3 linked regions of the Oreochromis niloticus genome follow. The protein of the gene in region 2 purifies or fractionates together with the protein of the main gene of each other region. This does not show direct contact. Links are inferred from orthologs where the notes say so. Each region holds a gene or a part of one and is shown on either strand. Other genes may lie near its edges.

Region 1 (7,891 bases), on a different chromosome or scaffold from region 2:
ATTAGGAATATTCCGTGTCAGACTTTATTGCCTTACCATGACACTGCAGTCCTCAGAGCCACTGGCAATGATGTTGTCATTATGAGGACAGAACTCGATGTCCAGGACCGGACCCGTGTGGCCACATACAGTGGGGTAGGACATGTCGATACGTCCTGTCTGCAGAGGCAAGCATCAGGATAGGAGGACATTGACTATGACTCATGCATGCAGTGCAGAAAACACTGCAGCTACAAAACGTAAAGAGCAAAGAGCAAATGGAAGAAAAAGAAGACAAAGCTAGATGAGGAGAAGTTTATCAGCTGACACCAATTACACAGCTTTGCCTTCAATGAGCGCTCATTTCTATTAAGTGGGTTAAAAATGAGATCAGGGCCAAGAAGAGGAAACCCAGTCATGAAGCTGTCTGGGAAAAATGACAATTACACATCATTTTTATTTTTATATTTTCCATTATAAGTCAGTCACATTTAGCTCCATGTAGTTGAATTCATTCTGGTAAAACCTTAAAAAAACCACTGGGCCCTAAAGCAGGATGACACAACCATGCCAGCATCACGTTCAAAACAGGATGAGTTTTTTTCCACTACAGCGCAGCTCTGCAATTTTATGCCCACTGGTCCCTGCACTTATTTTTGTCCTTTGAGAATCGCATGCTAGACGCGAGATAAGACCATGAATAATGTGATTTCTGCAGGCTTCACAAAGGTAAATTTAAGATCGTTTAAAATCGCCTTTTTAATACCACAAAGTGGGACAATATAATTGTCAGGTAAAATAAGGACAAGACGTTCAGATTCTTGTCACTTTCATTTCTAATGATATAATTAGTTGCAGGAGATGGTAATTAAGTTTATGCTAGGAGACAGTGATCTCTCTGTAGCTAACTGCAGCAGCAAGCAGCAGTGACATTATTCAGTGAAAAAAGAGTAGACATCTTTCTGAAGTACAGTCTTCACACCACAATCACATAAAAAACACCTGACCTCACTGTAAGCATTTTCAGTGCCTGCACACAACGAACTTCCCAAGCCCGAGTGAACACAAAGGTGATCAGGACAGACACTTCACTGAATTCACAGCCTCTGACAAATTCAGCTGGCCATTAACTCGGCTACAAGGTTTGCAATTTTGCACTTTTTCGGGCACATAAAATGCAATAAACGAGCTGCAAGCCCTAACCTAACGCCCTCTTTAAGTGACTGCACAATAAGTGGGTTGAGGCCACATCCTGTCCTCCTACACTGAGCTGACAACAAACTCCTAATATGGTGAAAACTTCTCAACAGCAGAGCAAGTGACGTGTAGACAGACTCAAAGACAGCATCAAACTTCCTTATTTAGCTGAATGTGTGATGGTGACTGGCAGCATTCAAATTTTAAAGTGCAAGAATGCTGCTAAAACAAAATTTAATCCCCAACCTGCATCTGTAATAGTTAACACACCTAAACATGGTATTAAGAGAAGTATATAAAACAGTATAGAGCCAAACGGTGGGTTTATTTGTGTTCTTTTGTTTCCTGGTGATTCCTGTGACCCACCTTGCTCAGCGGAAGCACCATGAAGGCTCCCCCACCGCTGGCGTCCACAATCATGGCCACAAACTTGGGGTTAACAGAGCAGAAATTGCTGTCCCAGGTCATCTGGGAGATTCGGATGTCATCGTAGCATTGGTCAGCTTTCACAGCCTGGCCAAAGACGTGACGGAACTTGCTGGTCCTCACAACCTTTCTGGACATGGTGAACTGAGAAAGAATGAAAAAAAAGTGCGCAAAGAGGAGAAAATTAATGTGCAAGAAGAGCAAGAAGTCTGTAGCAGAGTTGAGAGAGATTTATTTTATGGGTCATCATAAATCATATTGTTTGTTGGTGCTTTTTGATTTCATGCGGAAATAATCTGACAGACACAAAGCTGATGAAACCGTTGAAAGACTCAACAGAGGAAAGCTAAAAAAGGAAGAAGCAAAAGCTTTCACAACTGCTTCCTCTGTGACTGGTACTCTGGCACTCTATCGCCTTCTCTTTTTAATATGTGTGTATGAAACACAGAAATATTAAATAGCAAGCAAATGTACAAAAAAAACAGCAGAAAGGAAACAAAAAAGTAGGCCTTTTATCATCTAAAGCACATGCAGTGTCCTTAAAAAAGGTACAGAAGCTGCCCGAGCGGCAGTTACACCACATCCTACAAAGAGAGTAACAAAACCACAAACCTTTCTTTCCCTTAGTTCATACAGTCATGCTGTTATTTAATTCCCCGCATGTAGGGCATGCTTTAAATGACATATTTGACGAAGTAAGCTGAAACATATCCAGTAAACGCATGTGTCTGTGTGCGCAATGAGATCAGAACTTCAATCAAAAGCAGCTGCAAAATATACGAACTTTGCATCACGCAGGAACAGATGAAAAGCACTAAATAAGTCTTTCTTTACCTCCATTTGTAGAGTTTACTTCCTGAAATCTGCAGCCGCGCCTAAGCTCAGATTCGGTAGCGTATGACAGTTAGTTTTGCTGCATGTGCATCACAAGACCTCTCGGGCTTCTCTGCAGCTAATTTAATAATCCTTTACAGAGTGAGCCGTAATTTTATCAGGACTCTAAATGCATGTCAGTAATCTGTCTCGACCACTATCTCTCTGTGTTGTGATGGAAAACATTGACCAGTACGAAGTAGGAAACAATTCACTGCCTTGAAATAGGAGAAACTCAAGGCCATGTGGAAGATGAGAAACAAAAATGTGTCACTGAAATTAATGACATACGGTTAGCTTCAGCTATTTCCCTCTTTAACCAATGCACCGATTGCAGGTAAGATGATATCTTCAAGAGGTTGAGACTGCAAAGAGATGATGTGGGCCTACCTGGGAGTCGAGTGGGGGTGATTCAGCTCAAGGAGTTTTGGCAGTGCACCAAACGCCCTGCCACCAGAATGAGAACACGAGAGGAGACTGTAGGTTAAAGTACATGACAAATGACAGGGAGGAAGTGAGAGTTTCAAACAAGGTGGAAGTAGGAGGTGTCGGCTGTGACATGTGCCGTCTGCAACAAGCTGCAGAAACCAAAGTGAAACACAGGGCACTGCATGAGATCTTTTGTAGGATTGAATCATGATAAAAGTGTCTAGCGGTGCAATGCAGAGTTCAATCCACACTTACCAACAACGGCAAACAGATGCAGGCCACTGCTGCTTAGAAGTCACCTGATTATCAGAACCACTTCACTTCCAACAACACAGATAAATGCAGTGTGTCTGAAGAGCTCACAGAGTTTAAGTTAAGAAAAAAACTCAATATTTTCTTCAGTGATGGATGTCAGTGCATGTCTGTTCTTTTTGACTCATGATTTCTGCAGATATTAGAGTTAAATACTCTATAAGAGGCTTCTCATCTGCTGCTATTATTTTATAAGATTTATATAAGGCATCAGACAAATCCTAAGACAGACAAAGAATCCTAAATTTAAATATGTGGGAGCAAGAGCAAAGATGGTGGTAAAAAAAAACAGTTTTTAAGGCCTAATTTTCAGTTTTTAAGCAGTTTCTCGAGTCTAACTGGGGACACCTGCAGTTTACATGCTGATGATTGCAAATGAAATTAAAGTTATTTAGATCATGTTTCAAATAACCTGTCAGAGTCTGAAGACTTGAGACTGGCTTCTTAAAGGACCCTGAATTTCAGGTTAACCCCTAATCTAACCCACTTTATTTACATATCACATTTACAGCAAACTGTTCTCACACCAAACCTAATTAGACTTAAACTGGCAATCAGCTGTTTTTACACATGATGCCACTTTATTAGTCATGATTACTCAGCCTGTGGAAAGGCTTACTCTTACATTATGGGAAATGAGGGATGCTGTAATTTAATAGTTTAACCATTGCAAGAGGTTAGCAAAGAAAGTAGACAGGAGTGCTTGGAGGCTAGGTGTAGTGGAAACTGAGGGGTGGCAAAGGCTTGGTGAGTTGTATCTGAGGCTGGACACTAAGGAAGGAGAAAATGACTTGGTATTGATCGGCTAGGCAGAGAGATCGAGCTGGAAAAGATGTGCAGGGTGATTAAGGAAAGAGATGAAAATGTACTTATGAGTGAAGAGAGAGTTGAGAAGGTGGAAGGAGTATTTTGAGGAGCTGAGTGAAGAAAATGGGAGAGAGGAGGACAGTTAGTGAATCGGGAAGTGCACGAGATTAGAAAAGAGGAAGTCAGGGCAGCCATGAGAAGATGAAGAGTGGAAAGGTGGTTGGTAAAGATGATATACCAGTGGAGATGTCTGGGAGAGAGGGAAGTGGACTTGATAGATTGACAGATTGTTTACCAAAGCCTAGGAGAGTGAGAGGATGTCTGAGGAAGGGAGGAAAAGTGTACTGGTCCTAAAGGGCAGTATAGTCAGGTTTTTTTTGCTTTGAAGAGAGTTGATGGAGAAGTACATAGAAGGTCAAAAGGAGCGTCAGTGCATCTTTGTGGCATATGTTAAGGTGCTAAGAGAGGAACTGTGTTGCTGAATGAGGAAGTCACGAATGACAGAGAAGTATGTGTGGTGCAGGACAGAATTCAAAGTCTGTGTGGGACCGCTGTGAACCCTTTCTTCATTGCAGTGGTGATGGACAGGCTACCAGATGAGGTCATTGAGGAGTCTCCATGATTTATGATGTTTTTAGAGCACATTCTGATCTGTAGCAAAAGTAGGGAGCAGTTGCAAAGGGAGCCTGGAGAGGTGGAGGTATGCTCTGGAGTGAAGAGCAATGAAAGTCAGTAGAGGCAAGGCAGAATATCTGTGTGGATGAAAATGAGACAGGTGCAAAAAGGGAAGATGCATAGGCTGAGCAATTTGTAGGGGCAAGGCTGAGATGGTTTGGACATGTGCAGAGGAGGTGAGTGGATGGTGAACATGGAGCTGCCCAGCTGGAGGGAAAGAGGAAGACCACAGAGAAGAGTCACAGATCTTGTGAAAGAGGGTTGGTGTGACAGAGGTGATTGCTAGAGACAAGGTGAGATGGAGGCACATGATCCCCTGTGGTGACTGCTAAAAGGAGCAGCCAAAGGAGAATCATTTGAATGCATGGGCCTCTAGGTGTGCTCTTTTAAACCTCTTTTAAATCCTTCAACTATAAGGAAATGCAATACTCAAACAGCAGGGAGAACTTTTCAACTCCTAAAATTCTAAACTTTTATTCTATAAGTTTTATTATAAAAGCAAACTCAGTCTAATCCCTGAGTAGCAGAGCTAAAGCACTTCCTGTTTTTTGTTGTTTTGACAGAAAACCTCATGCACACATGTTTTTACACTTGTCCTCACAAGTGTAAAAACATGTGTGCAAATGACACTCACATATCATTTGGTTTAATGCAGCAGAACTAGGACAACTGTATTTCCTTACCAGGGCATGCCTACGTCACATTGGACTATAGTACTTTTTTTTTCTGGGAAAGCCTTGCATACTGCAGCAAGACAATGCAAAACCACATACCACATTTATCACAGCAGCATGGGTTTATAGTAGAAGTGGTTAGTCTGCAGTCCAGGCCTTTGACCAATGGAAAACATTTAGTGTTATGAAACCAAAAATACAACAAAGGAGACCCAGGACTGTTAAGCAGCTACAATTGTCTGTCAGACAAGAATGGGGCAACATTCCTCCCTCAAAAGTCCAACCTCTGGTGTCCTCCTCAGTTCCCAGAGGTTTACAGAGTGTTGTTTAAAGAAGAGAGGATGCTACACAGTAGCAAAAATGGCCCTGTGCAAGCTGTTTCTGAGATATATTGCTGCAAACAAACTCAACATAAACTGATTTATTTCTTAAAATGTATTTCCCTTTGCAAATACCAAAGTCCCCCAAAAAGAATTGATAAAAAATAAATAAATAAAATATAAAATAAGCTTTAATTTCAATGCATGGAATCACCAGTCAAATATAGTAAGACCAGACTTATAGTATTTACCAACTTTGGCCCCAATAAAGATTTTAAAACATTTTATTTACTCTGGAAGTTACACTATAGTACAACAGAGTATTAGGGCCACATTAAGAAAAGTGTCCATTTTGAGATTTAAGATGAAATTTCAAGATTAAACTCAAAATAGTATTTTGAGAAAAAAGTCAAAACGTGAATATTACAGTTGTCATTTCAAGCCAGACAACTGCCACGGCTCCTACAACCCTCTACAAAACCTGTAGATGAGTTAGTGAAACATCTGGACCAGCTGTGATACAGCATACATCCTCTGTACTGGACAAGGGCGTAACCATCGATATCCTTGCCACTGCCAGCCTTTTGTTCAAATCTGCCCAACTCTTCTACTTTTGTGTGTTTTTTCCTTCTAGCCAGATGCAGCTTTATGCACCGTCTTTTCAACATCCTTATACTTATAGCCACAATGTGTTTATGTGCTAAAAGAGAAACTGATTCTGACATGGCTGAATTCATGTGGTTTGTTGAGATGCAACTTTGACTGGCAGCTGTTTGAATGTTTTACATCTGTGAATAATCTGGGGTGTACAGTATACAGTACAGTTAGATATCAGCCTGTGTGTAGGTAATTCAATTAAAATCAGCCAAATCAGAAAAAAGATTCCCACCTGACCCCCTTCTTGTAAATGTTACTTTGAATTGCACCATTTTCACTCACACATTTGTAATTCTTTCAGCAGACAGAATCTCAAACTTAAATCTGACAACCATTTAAAAATGAACATATAAGAATTAATTTTGATACAAGGGGAATCAGAGGGGGGAAAAAAAAATCAGGTTGTTTTGGACGTATCAGAACAAATCCAGGTCTCTGTCACTCTACATCCTAGACAATAAACTGTTCAAACAAATTTAAGGAACGCTTTTTAATCAGAGTATAGAATCAAGTCAGTTGACTTTCTGGGACATTCGGTGCCAGTTTAGCTCTGTGGGTGAGCAGGCGACCCCATGCTGCGTGACCGGGTTTGAGTCCAACCTGTGGCCCTTTGCTGCATGTCTGTCCTCCTCTCTCTCTCCCTGCTTCCAGTCTGTCTTCACTCTTACAATTCAATGAAGGCAAAAATGTCAAAAAGCCCCCGCAGGATCGCTATCTGATGAGCAATGCCAGAGCCTCCAGCAGGCCACTGGTGTGAGGGCTGGCCTGAGGGCTTGACGCCCTCTAGTGGGCTCTGGCAGACATGACAGAGTCCGGAGAATATTATGCAGCCTCTAGCGTCACTCAGCATCACCGGTTTGGTGGTCGACACACAGACCTCTACAGGCTCAGCAGTGATAACCGAGATAACGGGATGAAAGTTTTGAACCCACTGTCAGACTACACTGGTGTAGTGTGTCCTGCAGTTCCTGGAGGATGAAGAAATTGACACCATTGACTGGGCCCCACACTCATCTGACCCAGTTCAATTGAACACTTGTGTGACATTATGTTTTGGTCCATCCAATGTCGCCAGATTGCACCTCAGACTGTCCAGGAGCCCAGCGATGCCCTGGTCCAGCACTTGATGGAGATCCTCCAGGAGAACCACTCTGAAATGCTGCAATGACATTTTGGCTACCTGGACTAGCCTCCCACATAACTTTTCAGTGTCTTTGAATTCATAATTTTCATCTCCATCAAATGACATGGCATCCTTTCGTTCCAGTCATATCGCTGTAGATATCCAGACTTGATTTTGTTTCCCAGTGAGATCTGATGTGTTTTTAATTTTATTGAGCAGTGTACACATCCCGTGATACTGATGCTCAAAGTTGAAAATTGTTCTGAACAAAAAGGAGATCTAAGATTTAGATAGTGACACCTGAAGTGCATCCACCACCTGAAAACTGTCTCTCTCCTATAGTTAGCCGCTGGAAAATATTAAAGGATTAAAAGCATCTATGTTTTTAACACACTGCTCAGGTTGTTAATATGACATAT
Region 2 (7,892 bases):
ATGACGTGAACGAATCAGGAACGTTCAATTCTGGGTTCACCTTGCTGAGTTTGGCCTGGGCGCTGCGGTACTCCTGGATCAGATGCTCCAGCTGGTTGTTGATGTACTTCTCTCTGCTGCTCACCTTCTCCAGCGTCTTCCCGATGTCCTCCTGCAGCTTGTCCAGGTGGCTCTGCAAAGACGACGAAGAATGACATCATGTTAGTTTCACTCCATGAATTTATTTCGTTTTCATCTTTCTCCAGAGTTATTGAAACAGTCCTCAGGACGTTTGTCTCTGTGGTTAACAGGAGATCCGCTGAACATGGAAACATCTGTTTCTTCTGCTTGTTTGTTTTTAGTTTATTTAATTAAATCTGGTTGATCAATAATATTCTGTATGTGTGACTGAAATAAAATAATACTTCTTGTTTGTCCCGTCCAATGACAGTGAGAGGCTGCAGGGAGGACATAACATGATGATGAAGCGGGTCAGTGAACGCACCTTGGCCTCCTTGAGTGAGGACTGGATCCCGTCTCTGTGCTGGTGCATCTGGTCCACGTGGACCCTCCAGTCCTGCAGGACCAACACAGACCAGAGATTGAGAGCCACTAACACTGACAGCCAACCAGAGAGCATGCTGGGAAACTGCAGGTAACCTTCAAAGCTTTCAGTCATTCATACAGAAACAAAAGCTTTTTACAATCACTCTGGACGAGTGTGTGAAGCTCCGGCAGAGTGAAGCTTCTTTCACTTCATCTCACATCTGGCGGCGGCTCCGACACCTCAGGTGAGCGCCTACCTTGTTGTCGGTCCTGATGGTGACTTTGAGTTGCGGCAGGACACGCTCCACCTCCAGGTTCCACTCTGTCGCATCGACCGTCGACTCTAGGATCTCGTCGGGTTTGGAGGACATCTCAGCTTCCTGCCAGAAAACAGACGCCATGGCGATTTCAAAACTCGGCGCGAACGTGAGAGCGTAAAAGTGGAAATTATGATGTAATCTTATTCGGAGGTGATCTCACCGTGTGAGTGCTTCGTAACTTCAGAGCCTCCAGGTCCATCACGTTCTCCTCCTCCTCGTCCCCTTCGTCCTGGTCACACACAAAAAAATCATGAGACGTGAAGATGATTCATGGTTGGACCCGCGCAGCGCTGAGCATTAAAAACACCCAAAACACGGTCATGGCAATATATTCGATTATGATTTCTGCTCTAAAGTGTGATGGACTTTATAAAATGAGGGAAATATTTTGTAATAAAATACATGAAATTGTTTTTAAAATAAAAGTGTGAGGATGTTTTATTTTGAAATCTGTCCCCTGATTTCCTCTCAGTGTTTGGTGATCTCTGACAGAGGTGCAGGAAACCACCGCAGTAAAAACAGATTCATCCTGTAAGTGTGCCGAACGGAAAAGAAGAGGAAGTTAGACGAATGTGGAACACCTACGATCAGCTCCTCCTCCACTTTGCTGAGAGTGAGCTCGGCGTCATCCTCCACCACAGACTCTTCTTCTGTGTTTTCTGATGGGTAGTTTGTCCTGTAACAGAGACAGAAAGAAGTAAAAAAAAACTTCTATAAACACAGAAGCAACAAAAGCAGCCTGACAAAAAGAAGAAAACAGATGGCATACTTCCTGAAGGTGAAGCCTCTCCTCCTCAGCGCCTCCTCAGCCAGTCGGTCCAGCACGAAGCAGACGTACTCGCCTGAGCCCGACTTCAGTTTGGAGGGTGGGAAGTCCACCTTAACACCCTGAAAAACAGAGGAGTCGTCGATAAAGCATCAAACTCTTCTTGTTTAACAGAAGCTCCCGCCTTCGCATGATCGGTCAGATTTATCAAAGCACAATCAAACTAACTCCAGCCATATCAAAGCTCATTTCCAGCTTCTAAACTCTTTCTGTGTGACTCACAAAGGCCCGCAGTTCTGCCAGGATGTTGGACACGGTGGCGTTGGGCTCGTCATACTCCTGCGGCTCGGTAAACGGCCTCCCCGCCACATTGATGAGCCACGCTGCGATGATGGTGAACATGTAGAACTGCTCGCCGGGGTTAGACGCCAGGTATGGACTGGAGACAAAGTAATGCCTGCACGGAGAAAGCAGAGGGGACTGAAGGGTTTTCCTTCACTGTGCACACTCGAAAACATCAAAACGGCACAAACACTGGAAACAAGCCTGGATTTCATTTTATTTTTATGCAATACTTTGTCTGAGTTGATCGATCAGAGGTGAGGGTTGTAGGCGGCTCTCTCTCCACCACAACGGTCCAGTACAATGCCAAGGCCACACAAACCCTCCACATCATACCTGAACTCCATCACTCTCCTCCAACCAGAGGGATGAATGAACTTCACAACACAATCACTTATCTTTAGGACGTGTCTGTGTTTTTATTGTGTCTCATTATATTTTTCTAAATGTCTGAGAAGGAAAACTACTGAGTTACACACTTCGATTGTTTTTTTCTGGTTCTAAATCCTAAAAAGGACACCGTACTTACATCCGAACTATGCGCTTCTCACCTGGACAGGTTCTTCATGTTGTGTTTGCTCAGAACCTCCTCCTCATAGTTGAGTACATTCAGCTTCTCCAGCAGGCTCTCCATCACTACGACCCCCCGATAAGCCGCTCCGGGCCCTCGGTCCTCCTCGTCGCCGCGTCTGCCGTCCTCCGCCATCCTGCAAGTTTGACGTTTGCGTGGAAAATGTAAAAACCTAGAACCTTTAACAGATTAGCACTGCTAACCTGCTAGCGGTGTTTGTTTGGCTTCTGTTGTCAGGCAACCGAAAGCTAACCAGCTAAGCGGCTAGCTGACGTTAGCAGATAGCGACTGCGGCATAACATTTTAAACACTGGTCTGAAGTCAGTCATTGGTCACATTTCTTTTATAAGCTGTATCAATATTCACAGTCTGGAAAAAAGCTGTATAAAATGACAGTCTGAATCCTCTCAGTGTCCCGTTAGATGCTGCCGTTAGCTTAGCTGTCTTCTTTGTGTCGGCTGGAAAACATCGCAACAGCGACCTCCACAGGCTGGAGTGTGTGCTTAAAAACGGTATTTCCAGTATTCAAAGATTAAAAGCTCCCCCCAAACTGAATATATATATATAAATATGTATGTGTGTGTGTGTGTGTGTGTGTATACATACAGATATATAAATTTGGTGATTTTGTCCTATCCTGTGTGGCAGCTTTTGCAACCAGATTTATGATCTGAATGTTCTGTGGTGCCAAACACATTTTCCAAAACCACCTCTATAAATTCTCTACAGGCTCCTCTTGTTCATGTATATCTTTCATCTGTTTCTTTGTTAATTCCTATTTGTGTTATTTCAGTTATTATATTGTATGTGGTGTCAGTGGCGGTCCTAGCCTGTTTGGCGCCCTGGGCGAACACTCCCTCCCCCCCCCCCCCCCCACACACACATATTAAGGATCATACATTAACATAAAACTGTTGTCCACACACACATATGAAGAGAGACAGAGTATGCATAGTATGCAAACGGCTACCAAACAGCCATCATAATTCTTCATACAATGAGAACAGGACAAATCAACAACTGACAATGACTAATTAATATTAAAATCTGTAACATAATGTATTGTTTGGAGTTTAATCTGTTAGTGTTGCTATCTTTACAATTTCTTCTTGGAGCAACTGTAACCCACATTATTTCCTTAGTAAAGTATTAATAAAGTATTCTGATTCTGACTGTTTCAGGATGACCTGCCGTTATCCAATGACACATCTGCTTACCTGTATCTTTTGCTCGTTTCTCCTCCTCTTCTTTTCTGTTTTTTCTAAACTGAGCACCTGATGGCTTTGAACTTTTCTTGTCCATCTTCCATTGGTTTTAATTTTGCACTCCAGTATGAACACCCATCCCTCAACCCAAGGATCACCACAACATAACCTAACAGACCTACACCTTAGTTCACAGATTCACTTTGTCTAGGGTGCATTTCTGAGATTTCACACAACCCAGGATTCAAATCATGAATACATGATAGACGCATAATAGAAGCAGCCGGGGCTCCTCCCCTTTCGACTGGTTGTGTGTGAGACTTTAAATCATCAAACTGTAAATTTTGAATTGTCATTGATCCCTTTACCCCGAGTCCTAAAGTGTATATTTATTGTTTGTTTCCTTGCACTGCTGTAACTGGAGCCTCGTCGTCTCGTCTCTCTATATACTGGACTGTATGTAGCGGAGATGACAATAAAGTTTACTTTGACTTCAGCAGCGAGCAGGCGCACCGAGGGCTCTCGCGCTCACTTTTCGTGTATAGAATTTTGAAAAAACATCGGTGCAAATTATAAGTCTGTATCATGATGTCTGGTGTTTTCATGTTTGTTATTTTGTTTTATTTTGCTAGTTGGTTATTAGATGCCGCTCCAGTCAGCCAGAGAATCCCCCGCCGCCCCGCCCTCTCCTCTCTGCGCCGCAAGCATCAGGCGCACCTCGCAAACGGAGGGCGCCCTTACTCCCAGCAAATGGGCGATAGAAAACCGATCGATGCCTGTGCCATTCCCAATATGCGCTGGCTGCCGTAGGGGCAGCATGAGTACGAGCGTTTTTTTTCTTTTTTGCCGATGCCCGTGATGCCGCCCCCATCACGATGCCGCCCCGGGCAACCGCCCGTGTCGCCCGTATCTAAAACCGCTACTGTGTGGTGTACAGTATGACAGCGTCTAAGGCAGGATGGGAGTAGGATAGGACATGTAATAAAAGGATAGAAATGCACCAACTGCTGCACCTGGAACACAAAAAAGAGAAACTACGCAGGTACATAAATCATCAATCTTCCCGTACTGTGTGAGAGACAGAGAGTGAGTGAGAGTGTGTGTGTCTTTGTCACAAATGTACTTGATAATGAGGGTGGGAAACTGCAATAACACCCCAGGAACCAGAGGCAGACAGAGATCGATCCGAGCCCCCAAGCGTACCAAAGACCTGAGGCCACACATCTCAGTGACATCCGCCTATCCCAGCAGGAGGAGGAGGGAGGGAGGCCCCTAATGGGGTGCCAAAGGGTGAGAGAGCCCCCACTAGAGTCCAGCCATGAGTCGAGAACAGGGTCCCAGGGCTCCACCCAGGTACCGGGCACCTGTGCAGTTCTTGGGCATATCATTAATTTACCTCGTAAAATTAATAATATGTATTATTCATGAGTCAGATGTGAAATTTCACAGCCTAGAAATGACTATGCAGCCTCACACAGAACAAAAACGAGATTTTATTGAACCATCTCACATGTGAACCTGTACAAATTCGTACTTTTTACCATCAAGCCTCGTTTCAGGGGCACAGTTTTCCAGCAGACGTTTCAGGCCTTTGTCTTATTACCTGTGTGACGTTGCATGTGAAGTTATTTCCTGTTTGTACCTTTTCCCACAGGTGTTACAGACGTGCTTCTGATCAGCTGTGTCTTCACGTGCCTTTTTAAAGACCTCAAGCCTCTAGATTTTCTCCCACAGCTGTGACGAGTGTACGGCTTCTCCCCTGTGTGACTGGCGTTATGCCTTTTAAATGAGGACACGGTTTTCAGTGTTTTTCCACAGGTGTTGCAGAGATACAGCTTCTCACCTGTGAAGGTTTTGGTTTTCAGAGCCAAATCAGAATCTGCGCTGACTTTAACAGGGGCTGTGTTAGGCTGCTCATGGGCAGGAGGACCCAAACATGGCTGAACTGTAACAGCGTCAGTCTCCTCGTTCTGTACGAGTTGCTCTCCCTGGTGACTGAGGCCGACTGCTACCTGCTCCCCTGTAATCTGCGGAGGCTCTGGGTCCTCCTGGTCTGGGCTGAAGTTCCGATCCTGGTTTAAGACCTGCTGGTCTGTAGGAACCTCCTTGTGATCACAGACATGCTGCTGTGGAAAATCTGCAGGAACAAACCACAGGTTACTAATGAGATGACGGAAAACTTCTTATGAGCAGGTATACTGTAACAGGGTCTGAGACGATGATGGCCTCGAGGCCACTAAGTAAATATGTCAGGTAACTTGTTAGGCAGCTGCTGGGCTGCTAACGTGTTTCCACCAATTATGTTTATGATTCAGCACGTGAAGCAAACAGGCTGAAGAGGAAAAAGTCAGTCATGCAGAATTCAACAGCGCAAGCGTTTCACTCATATTTGAGATTAAAACTAGACGTATGCATTTATAACCTTCACACCACCAGCAGCCTGACCCACTGATACAAGGCAGGATGGATCCATGCTTTCATGTTGCTTACGCAGAACTCTGACTCAGAATAAGACGTGGTGTTTAACTCTCACCATTATGACTAAAAATAATGTGGTTTTTTTTTAGAATTAGTAGAAACAAACAAGTATTTGTGTGGACGCAGAAGTACAAATTACAGAGTCTAGCCCGTTGTTGGCTTTCCTGATGGTAAAGAGGTCGGTTGGTGTTCTAATAATCAGATAGATACATTTTATTTCAAACTTAACCCTAAAAAGTCTGATGCTGTTAGCTCTCAGAGTTAGCTGTGTTAGCCCTGTTAGTCTATCTGACTTACATCTATGTGTATGTTTTTTTGTGGTGTTAAAAAGACGCACCTATCCTGTAGAGCTTCACCACGGGGTTCCAGGTGCTGTCCAGATGGTTGAGTTCTACCTCATTGTCAGCGCTCTTATTAGTAACTTCTAATGTTTCTTTGGATGTGGAATTAACAAACGTGCAAATATCAGAACTGTTAGAGAGGGGCCGGTCACTTTCTGGTTGTGGTTCACTTTCTTCACAAGTTGGTGCCATCATAACGGCATCATTCTCCTGCTTCAGTGCAAACTGCCCTCCTTCCTGATTGATGCAGACTTCCTTTTCTTCCACTTTAATCTGTGGAGCCTTCGGGTCCTCCTGGCCCCTACTGGAGTTCCTCTCCTGGTCACAGACCTGCTGGTCTGTGAAAAACTCAGTCTGAACACCGATGTGCTGCTGTGCAAGATCTGCTGGGACAAAGAAACAGAAAAACAGGTTACTAATGTAAGGGCAGAAAAACATCTACTGTACATGACATAACTGATGGTGCAGGGCCGGTGTGTGGTGCCTAAAAATGCCCTCTTGGTCTTAAAAGGCCTAAACTCTGCCAAGAAAATATCTCCTATATCATCAAACCACCACCTGGTGTGCTTTTCTGCTGCTGTAGTTCATCTCAATTAAGGTCCAGATTTTATTAAGAGATGCAGATCTGAAGTTCTGAAACAGTCAGACCATCCAGGTCTCTGCCTCATGCTAATAGTATCACTGTTTGAACTTCAGCAGGTCATTTCTTCCATGCCTAAGTGCACTGTCTAGATATTTGTGCTACCAAGTAGTTAACAAAGCCAGCACACACGTAGAGACGTGGCTGGCCCCAACGGATCCACAGTATTAACTGCAGATACACTAATTACTAATTAATGAATGGATCACCAATATTTAGTTATGAAACAGTAAGTAACGGTTATTAACAAAGTGCTTTTCACAGACACGTAGTCACAAATGCTGCACAACACAATAATTAAAAACAACGAAGAATACAGTTAACAGGAATGCAAAACCAAGTTAGGAAGGAGTCAAAGAAAACAGATAACCATCAATATCAATGAGAAGCTCGCTAAAACCTCGCTAAACAAAAAGACTTTTAACTGATTCCATGTGGAGATTCTTCCAGAGCTGTGGTCCTAGAGCCTGGAGAAAGGCTCCGACTCAAAGGAGGAACAAAGACTGTGAGCAGCATCGTGTTTCATAAGAAAGTGAGATAAACAGTCGGAAGCTTGTTCATGTAGTGCTGTAAATGTAAATACAAGAATTTCTGGAGATTTCTGGAGAATCTGCAGTGGGATCGTTGCTGGTGCTGGACATGGTCTGTAGCTTGCTGCTGAAAGATTGGAGATAAACAGGTTGGGTTCAAAAGTTGAAAGAAGA
Region 3 (7,803 bases), on a different chromosome or scaffold from region 2:
TAATTTGAAAATTCTACAGTTCTTGACTGATTGAGCAAATCTGGAGTAAACGGCTACATGTGATTAACTGTGCACGGTTACTCACTGCTTAACTGCTATGCCTATATCTATAAATACATCTAGAGCCTTCTAAGACCTTAATAGGTCTCAGGAAGGTTAATACTAGCTATCAGAACAAGTGTGCCTACTAAAAAAGCACATTTTGCCAATTACATGCTGATTAGCTGCTGCAGTGTCAGGCAGGACTGAACGCCTGGATTTCTGAGCGCTTCACAGCACACAGATAAGGCTATTCCCTACAAACTACTATCTATTCTGTGCTGGCAGTGAGCCAGCATTGCACTTCATGAGCTGCTCCTTCAAACCCAATTCACCTCACTTACCCAGCCTGAATACAAAAACATAAGCCTGTGGCTAGTCACGGAGTACACCCCGATCTGTAAATCCCTGAACAACTTGTTTTACAGCTCCATTCCTCTGCTGATTGTGTGAATGGAGTACAACACATCCCTACTTACTGTTATAAGACATGTTATGCTGCCTACCCCACATACACTGCAGTATGTCTGGCAGTGAGCTCGCTTTCTCTGTGTTATGTGACAGTGCTACACCAGGGGGCAGTTTCTCAGATGTGGACGGCTGCAGATGTCACAGACAAGTAGTCATTCTATTATACTTTGTTCGAGCCTGCTTGAAGTCCACGTGAAGGACATATCCATAGCTGGTACATTGGTGCAAAAACTGAAAGGCATGCTGACATCTGCTCTGAGCCTCACATTCACCCTTTCACAACAAAATTAGTCAATCGGACCAAGTGTATACTTAAACACACAAAGTATAGCAGCTCCTCTATATGAACCAGGAAGGCCAAACCCATTTTACATTGCCACATTCAACTAATTCTGATCTTCAGTGAGCCAAACCAGAAAAAAAAATCCTTTCTGTCTGTGTAAAGAATTATAACTACACATTTAAGCCCCAAGAAATCTTAATATAAAAAAGAAGAGCAATTTCAACATTATGTCTCAGTTTTTCTATGTGATAAAGACCAAAAAAAGTCAACAGTCAATAGTGAAAAACTGAAACTTTTCTGTAATTTAACTGTTTATCTGTTACTTATTTACTTATACTAATTAAGTAAGTAAGTAAATGGTATAGGTGTAGTATGAATGGCCACAGGGGAAGTCTTTATCAGCAGGGAAAGCTTAAAACCTATTAAATTTATGCCTTATTTCAAATTTTTCAAAGCCATCTAGTGGGCCAGTTTAGAATCTTTTCCAGGCTGATTTTGGCCCCTGGAGTCTTATGTTGACACCCCTAATTTAAACTATCTAAAGATAAACCAACCTTCATATACACGTGTCTGTACACGTGTATAGCACCAAGTGTTGATTCCCACTGGTACAGACTGGTGTCACTGATTGCTACCATGGTAACATCAATAAAGCTTTTGCCAGGTGACAAAAATGATGTCAAACTGACGTCACATCTACTTGGCCACGATACCACTTGAGTGTCGCTCCGGCCGGCCAAGTACCTTTTGATTTTGGAACCTGGGGCATTGCAGGCAATCCAACCAATGCAGGTTGATGATATGAGTGCCGTTTTTTTTTCTGCCATTTTAATGATATATCAGTACATGAGCTCGGAGATCCACAGATTATACAGAGGGAAATATTGCAAAAAAAAGAAAAAGAAAAAAAAAACAAGGAAAAAGAGGAATATGCTTTTATAACTTCTATGCTTCTGGTTTTGACTTCTGTACCAGTGACAATATGGAAATTTTGTCTGAGTGGCAACATCTATCGTTCAGGAGAAACTTTATAAACTGAATGAAATGACCAATGAGCAGAACAAAAGACTGTCCTAACCCTACAGATTAGTCTAAAGCAATGATGTCAAACTCATTTTATACCGCTGACCACACACACCACACGTTGATCTCACGTGGGCCTAACAAGCGAAACTTTCTGTCATTGTAAAGATGTTTAACTACAAATGATCACATAGAGATCTGTGTTAGCTCAACAAACTGTCCTGTATTTACAAAACACATTTTTTTTATTCACAGTAAATGTTGATTTTGTTACATATTTCTATAGATGGTGGAAAAAACAGGCACTTTTCTATCATTCAGTTGTTTATCTTCTAGTTAATTCCTTTTGTTTTGCATTAATAGGAAAAGCTGTAAAACTTATGAAAGGAGGGCCTTATTTTGGACACATCGGATCTAAAGTAGGAAGACTCACTTCACTCATGGAATCAAACCATGAGCCTTTTAGTGACTGTGTTAATGCTCTCACCATGCTGTAATTCTTCTGGAAGAGAGTGCCATCGCTGTAGAACATATGAGAAAGAGCACTTTTGCCCACTGCAGCATCTCCTACAGACACACAGACACAGGGAAGAATACAAATATGACAGCCTGTGGTTGTGTTTACGATGTAGTTTTTGTGAATTAATAATTAATAGTTTAATTTGTGTTTAAGGAGTTCGTTCTCGACAGAATTCATAATTAACCCCCCTCATTATCAGGGAGTTTTAGAGTTTAGTGTCTGGTTCACCATCAATTCTGTGAGTTGAAACATCATCACTCGGCAGTGATTGGTTTGTGTAAGCTAAATGACTGTAGCTACATGATAAAAGAGACCCAACAAACATAATCTTTTATATATGAAATAGTATCAGGCTTGTATTTGTCGTCAGTCCTATAACAAGTAGGTTGAATCTGAAACATAAGAAGGACACGGCCTGTGGCTGGGGATGTTTCTGTAGTAAAAGGCTAGCTTTAGCCCCCGTTCCTTATTTATCAAGTGGGCCGCTTTGAAAACCTTACCGACCAGCAGACATCTCGCCCTTAACTTGACCATTACATGGGATGACTTCCGGTCTCTGTCAGGTAAAACTCTCTTGAAGCTAATCGAGCTATGTTTCGCTGTTTATCGGTCCATATGCGATGGACTATCCTTCTTGCAGCCTCGGGAACATGGACACAAAGCGTCTCTTAGCAACCAGCCACGGGGCTGTTTCATTGGTCCAGCCGTCGAGGACGTAATCGCGTAGTCGTGTTTTCATTGGTTTTCTGTGAGGACGTAAAGGAAGCAAAAGGCTACTTTTGCAGAGTCTGTTAGACAGAACTTACTGAAACAGTGTACAAACGTAAATATCAGTGTGCACAACCATTTATAACACCAATAAGCCGACTTGACTAAATATTAATGGGGCTTGTTTAAGAACAGAGCAATATCACGTATAAAGCCTGAAGGAGAAAACAACCATGAGGTCCTTGCATATTCAGGCAATATACGGTAAGACCGCTAGAGGGCGGAATTTATTGCACCTACCCACGGCACCATCAATCAGGGAGTTCAACGTTGTTGGGTGGTGGTACTGTTATACTGTCGTTTATTCATGTAGAAGCATTCTAGTGTTTTAATAAGTGCCTTCACACAAAATAACCCTTTACCAATATTTATTTTCAGCTCACATACTTTATCATATATGATATGATATATATGATTAAGTTAATATCATGTTCTGGTTTAATGGTTTAATCACTGTTTTTCCGCCCACCATCGGTAAACGAAGAGCGCGTGACTCTCTGTAGTGGTCCTGAGTACGTCGCTGTTTTTCTTTCTTTCTGTTTTTTTTACTCGGGGTGTTTTGACGAGGAGCGCTCCGTCCGAGGCGTGACAACGGAGGCGCGTTCACGGGGTCGCCACCGGCTTCTGCGCTGAACTAAAGGGAGAAAGCATCACTATCTAGCACCATCACAAAGCTTTCTTTACCCAAACACTCAACGGAGACAAATTAGAGGTTACATTTAAAACCAACAGCACGAGAGAACAGGGCGCCAAAGGAGACCGGGGGTGGGGGGAGACGCGCATCCCAGCCGTGCAGATTCAGCGGTAGTACAGTAGTGGTGATAGGGAGCAGTTTCGGGGATTTTCCGTTTCGGTTACCCGGTGCTCCACACACCCTGTGCCTTTGAGCCAGCAGCGGGGAGGGAGAGAGAGGAGGAGGAGGACCATGGAGGGGATGCAGGCATACGGAGCCGGGAAAGCCGGAGGAGCCTTCGACCCCGTCACCTTCCTCCAGCAGCCTCAGACCATTCTCCGCATAGTGTCTTGGGTGAGTTGGAGATATAAAAACGAAAAATAACTTTGTTCTTGGATACACAGTTAGCTACAGAGGCCACCACTTTTTTAAATCATTCATATATGTTGTCAAATATTGGTTTGAATTAGCCAACCGAGGGCCCACACAGGCTTCGTTTCAGAGAGGAGCTCCTATAGATACTGAAGGCAGCTGTAACATGCTTTGTGGTGTTTTGTTCTTTTAACTTTTGTTTTCACTTGTGTGTTTGGTGCTATTACCTGATCTCACTAATAATATTCTCCTCACGCAGTGGGTTGATGGGTTGATTGAACAGAGTCCCGATCGCTGTGTACAAAATCCACCTTCTACAGATACAGTGACCAGATGATGTTTTCTCATGAGCACAGTGAGAACACGCAGTCACACATTTGTTGAATTTCATAGCAAATAATTTCATAATAACTGACCACCCTCCGTGCTCTGAGGAGGAGGAGGAGCACTAATGAAAAAGGAGTAGCAACAGTAGGAGAACACTTTTGACAAGCATAGTAAACAGATGGCAACAGAAGTGCTCCCCAAAGTGTTGGCTCCACGCTGAGTTTTAAGGAAATAACAGCTGAAATGTATGAAACCAGAGGTTTATTTATTAATATAATTAATCATTAAGGAAAATGTGCTCGGTATAAACTGAATGTATAACAATCAAGTTCATTTCATTTGACCAGACCATTGTTTTACATTGTACTTATGTAAGAAAATTACATGGAAAATTTACATGTATTTAAATGAGTTAAAGTCAGGATTTTGGGCAGATTTTCTTCTTTTTAGCGCACTACCAGGTGGTATTTTATAAGATTTTTGTTTTGGGTGTCTAGTGTTTAACCCGCAGCTGTATCTTTTGTGTCTTGTAGTGTTTTAAGAGGAGGAAAATGCATGCACTATGTGGTGTTTTCATTAGAACGCATCAAGGAAGTTCTCTTAAATTGTTGTACTTTAAGAAAGACAGGAAGTAAATATACTGCGTCCATTCATAGACTGCGTCAGGTGATGAATATCTGACGGAGATTTATACATTACATTGTTACAGTTCATTTTTTTAAATGAACATTTGGTAATGTGCAGCAATTAGGAATTGCCCTTATTATCATTATTTTTAACATATTTGGACAATAAGTTAACACATAGACAGTGTTGTTTTAGATTTTGAACTATACAACTGATTTTTGACTACAGTGCAGTCTGTTACAAAGAGCATATTATTATTTGTTTTAATAATAATTCTTTTATTTCACCTTGTTTTATGGAAAAACAGGAAAAGATGTGGAAATGTGTACTTGAACATCTTTTAATAAGAAAAATGACTTGTAGTTTTTGTATCTGGTGTTCATTCAGATTATCTTACGTGTGACTAAAGGCACTTCCTGACCACAGTTGTTGGGATTACCTGAAGGTAACAACCTACTGGGAGAACATCTTACCTTTAGTTATTATTTCTTTTATATTTACATCAGTAAGAATGCTTATGTGATGTATTAGCCGGCTAGAAGTTGTGTGCTGGCAACAAGTTGGCTACAGCCACAACAAAAGGTTGTAGGAAGACATGATTGGAGTTTTGGGATTTTGTCCGTGTATGTAAGTAGCTGAATTGGTGGTGGTGTTGCTAAAATAGTAGTTTATGTCTGTTAAGCTGTGTTATCCTTGGCATCATTCTTTTGTAGACTCAACTAAAGAAATGGGAACATATTTTGTGTTTTGCCAAAAAATACAATTTAAAATGTTTTTTTCCCTCAGTTGTCTGTTATGTGTAGACACTGTGCTGATTCACAGGTCAGTGATAATTGGCTTAACAAACACAAGAAACATTCCTCTGAAAATAAGTGAAAAAGCAGCCAATGTGCAATGAAAAACTGTGAAGACTCAGAAAGTCTGGAGCACCATTGTTCAAGAGCGCTTTAAAATATCACAAGAAAGTGTAGCTGCTTGGAAACAAAATAAGAAGAAATGAGAGGTGCCTCAAAACTTTTGTACAGCAATGTTACCCAATGTTACAAGGGACTATTTTCTCTAAATGTGTTCTGGTAGCCAATAAGCCCAGGCGGTAAAAGCCTGATCTGATCTTTTACTTTCTTCTAACTCTTTTTCAGTGTCTTCATCTCTATACTTTCACTGTACTGATTTTCTCTGTGTTGAGGCACCAGTTGGTTAAGAGGAAACACTTGCAAAGATTTTATAGTGTTCAAAAGTTAAAATTTCATTGTGTTTCCTTTGTAGCATAAAGTCCGAACTTTAGCATCTTTCAGGTTCTCAAAGTTTAGTTTCATCTTAAGAGCCACTGGTTGTTTGCAGAACTAAAATGTAAGCAGTCACATAATGTCAGTTACCAGCGTTGCATCAGTACATAATGCTTATAACTATATAAACCTATATAAGGTAAGGTTTGTATTGTACTGTACAGTCCTGACTAGGGCTGTGCGATATGACCAAAATCTCATATCCCGATATTAAAACATCTATCGTCGATATAACGATATAAATTACAAAAATGTAACAGTTCCTGTAAATTCTGTGAATGTCGGGCATCTCGACTTGCGTGAAGTGTTTCCAGCTGGGCGTCGCGTACCTGGAGTCGAGTGTTTTAACTGATGCATGAAACGATATATTTTTAGAAGTAAGTTGTAACGGCCGCCGTTTTCTTTGTGAGTATTTATTACACGGCGTGCTGCGGGGAAAAGCCTGTTCTAACGTTTGAGTCTAAGGTTTATTTTTTAGCACCTGGCGGCTCTTTTTTGCTTCTCATCCGTTAATACTCTGCATCTTTCACGTGACTCGTTTTATTTTGAAAAGCCTCAACAGGATCTTGAGCTTTATTGTGAAAGGTTTATGTGGAAAATAAACAAGCGGACACGCCGTGGTTTTACCGTCGTTGTTGCTAACGAAAACGCATAAAAAACAAGCGCTTGTCCTTCCATAGTGTGGTTATATTAAATATAAGAGAAAGAGAGAACTTTAGGAAATTAATATAGCCACTACAGTGACCATCAAAATGATGAAAAAATATTGCCGTAAACAGTTTATTTTGCGACACCACGAAACAAACGATAGCGTAAAATGAAACGATAGACGTTTTTCTATCGTCATCCGATATATATCGTTATATCGAACAGCCCTAGTCCTGACACTAAAGTGGGAGCTGAGGTGTTCTTCTTTTAAAAATTATAAATGCTTTAAAAAGCTTCTGTGGCCTGAAAGTGCCATAAACTTAAAAAGTTATACTTAAAATTATAATTAGAAATACAAAGAAAATGCATGGTTTGTGGTAAAAATAAATAAGAGTTTATTAATCTGTTAGCCTTAAATAACAAAGCCAATGGCAAGTGATGTGATGTGTCAGTAAATCATGGATTTAATCGTTGTAATGCTTAGTTGTGAGCTCATATCTTTGGCTGTATACGAGGTATACTAATATGATGTATATTATTTATATTAGTAAACCTGGCAGTTTTCTGAACATATGACACATGTTGTGCTGTAAATTTGTCTGTATGCAGGAATATTTTTCAGTCACGTAGGGAAAGCATATTTTAATATGGCACAATTTGATCACTGCTATTTCACCTTTTTTTAGAGTTTTAGGGTTTTATGTTGAAAGTATATGGCACAACTCAGTAGATATTTGTAGTTATAAAATCTCTATTTATTATCTAG

Evidence for each region. The genes of interacting proteins can lie anywhere in the genome.
Region 1: the proteins of ift57 (region 2) and coro1a purify together in Homo sapiens (affinity purification with mass spectrometry; 3 studies listed by BioGRID and IntAct, counting the BioPlex papers as one, with this or other methods). This does not show direct contact. The link is inferred for Oreochromis niloticus from reciprocal best matches to the Homo sapiens genes IFT57 and CORO1A.
Region 3: the proteins of ift57 (region 2) and ift27 purify together in Homo sapiens (co-immunoprecipitation; 3 studies listed by BioGRID and IntAct, with this or other methods). This does not show direct contact. The link is inferred for Oreochromis niloticus from reciprocal best matches to the Homo sapiens genes IFT57 and IFT27.

The regions. Positions count from the first base shown.
Region 1 is NC_031969.2:29,278,300-29,286,190, reverse strand, and holds the start of coro1a (coronin-1A), read right to left. Parts: upstream 3,017-7,891; 5' UTR 2,866-3,016; intron 1,747-2,865; 5' UTR 1,741-1,746; coding exon 1,543-1,740; intron 160-1,542; coding exon 37-159; intron 1-36. UniProt on the Homo sapiens protein: May be a crucial component of the cytoskeleton of highly motile cells, functioning both in the invagination of large pieces of plasma membrane, as well as in forming protrusions of the plasma membrane involved in cell locomotion.
Region 2 is NC_031982.2:33,263,381-33,271,272, forward strand, and holds the start of ift57 (intraflagellar transport protein 57 homolog), read right to left. Parts: upstream 3,005-7,892; 5' UTR 2,728-3,004; intron 2,661-2,727; 5' UTR 2,660-2,660; coding exon 2,505-2,659; intron 2,069-2,504; coding exon 1,894-2,068; intron 1,734-1,893; coding exon 1,615-1,733; intron 1,522-1,614; coding exon 1,431-1,521; intron 1,075-1,430; coding exon 1,006-1,074; intron 906-1,005; coding exon 783-905; intron 557-782; coding exon 485-556; intron 173-484; coding exon 41-172; intron 1-40. Other genes in the region: zinc finger and SCAN domain-containing protein 21, read right to left, coding at 5,355-5,866, 6,545-6,931. UniProt on the Homo sapiens protein: Required for the formation of cilia. Plays an indirect role in sonic hedgehog signaling, cilia being required for all activity of the hedgehog pathway.
Region 3 is NC_031971.2:8,801,310-8,809,112, forward strand, and holds the start of ift27 (intraflagellar transport protein 27 homolog), read right to left. Parts: upstream 3,017-7,803; 5' UTR 2,871-3,016; coding exon 2,837-2,870; intron 2,384-2,836; coding exon 2,304-2,383; intron 1-2,303. Other genes in the region: syngr1b (synaptogyrin-1), read left to right, coding at 4,030-4,131. UniProt on the Homo sapiens protein: Small GTPase-like component of the intraflagellar transport (IFT) complex B that promotes the exit of the BBSome complex from cilia via its interaction with ARL6. Not involved in entry of the BBSome complex into cilium. Prevents aggregation of GTP-free ARL6.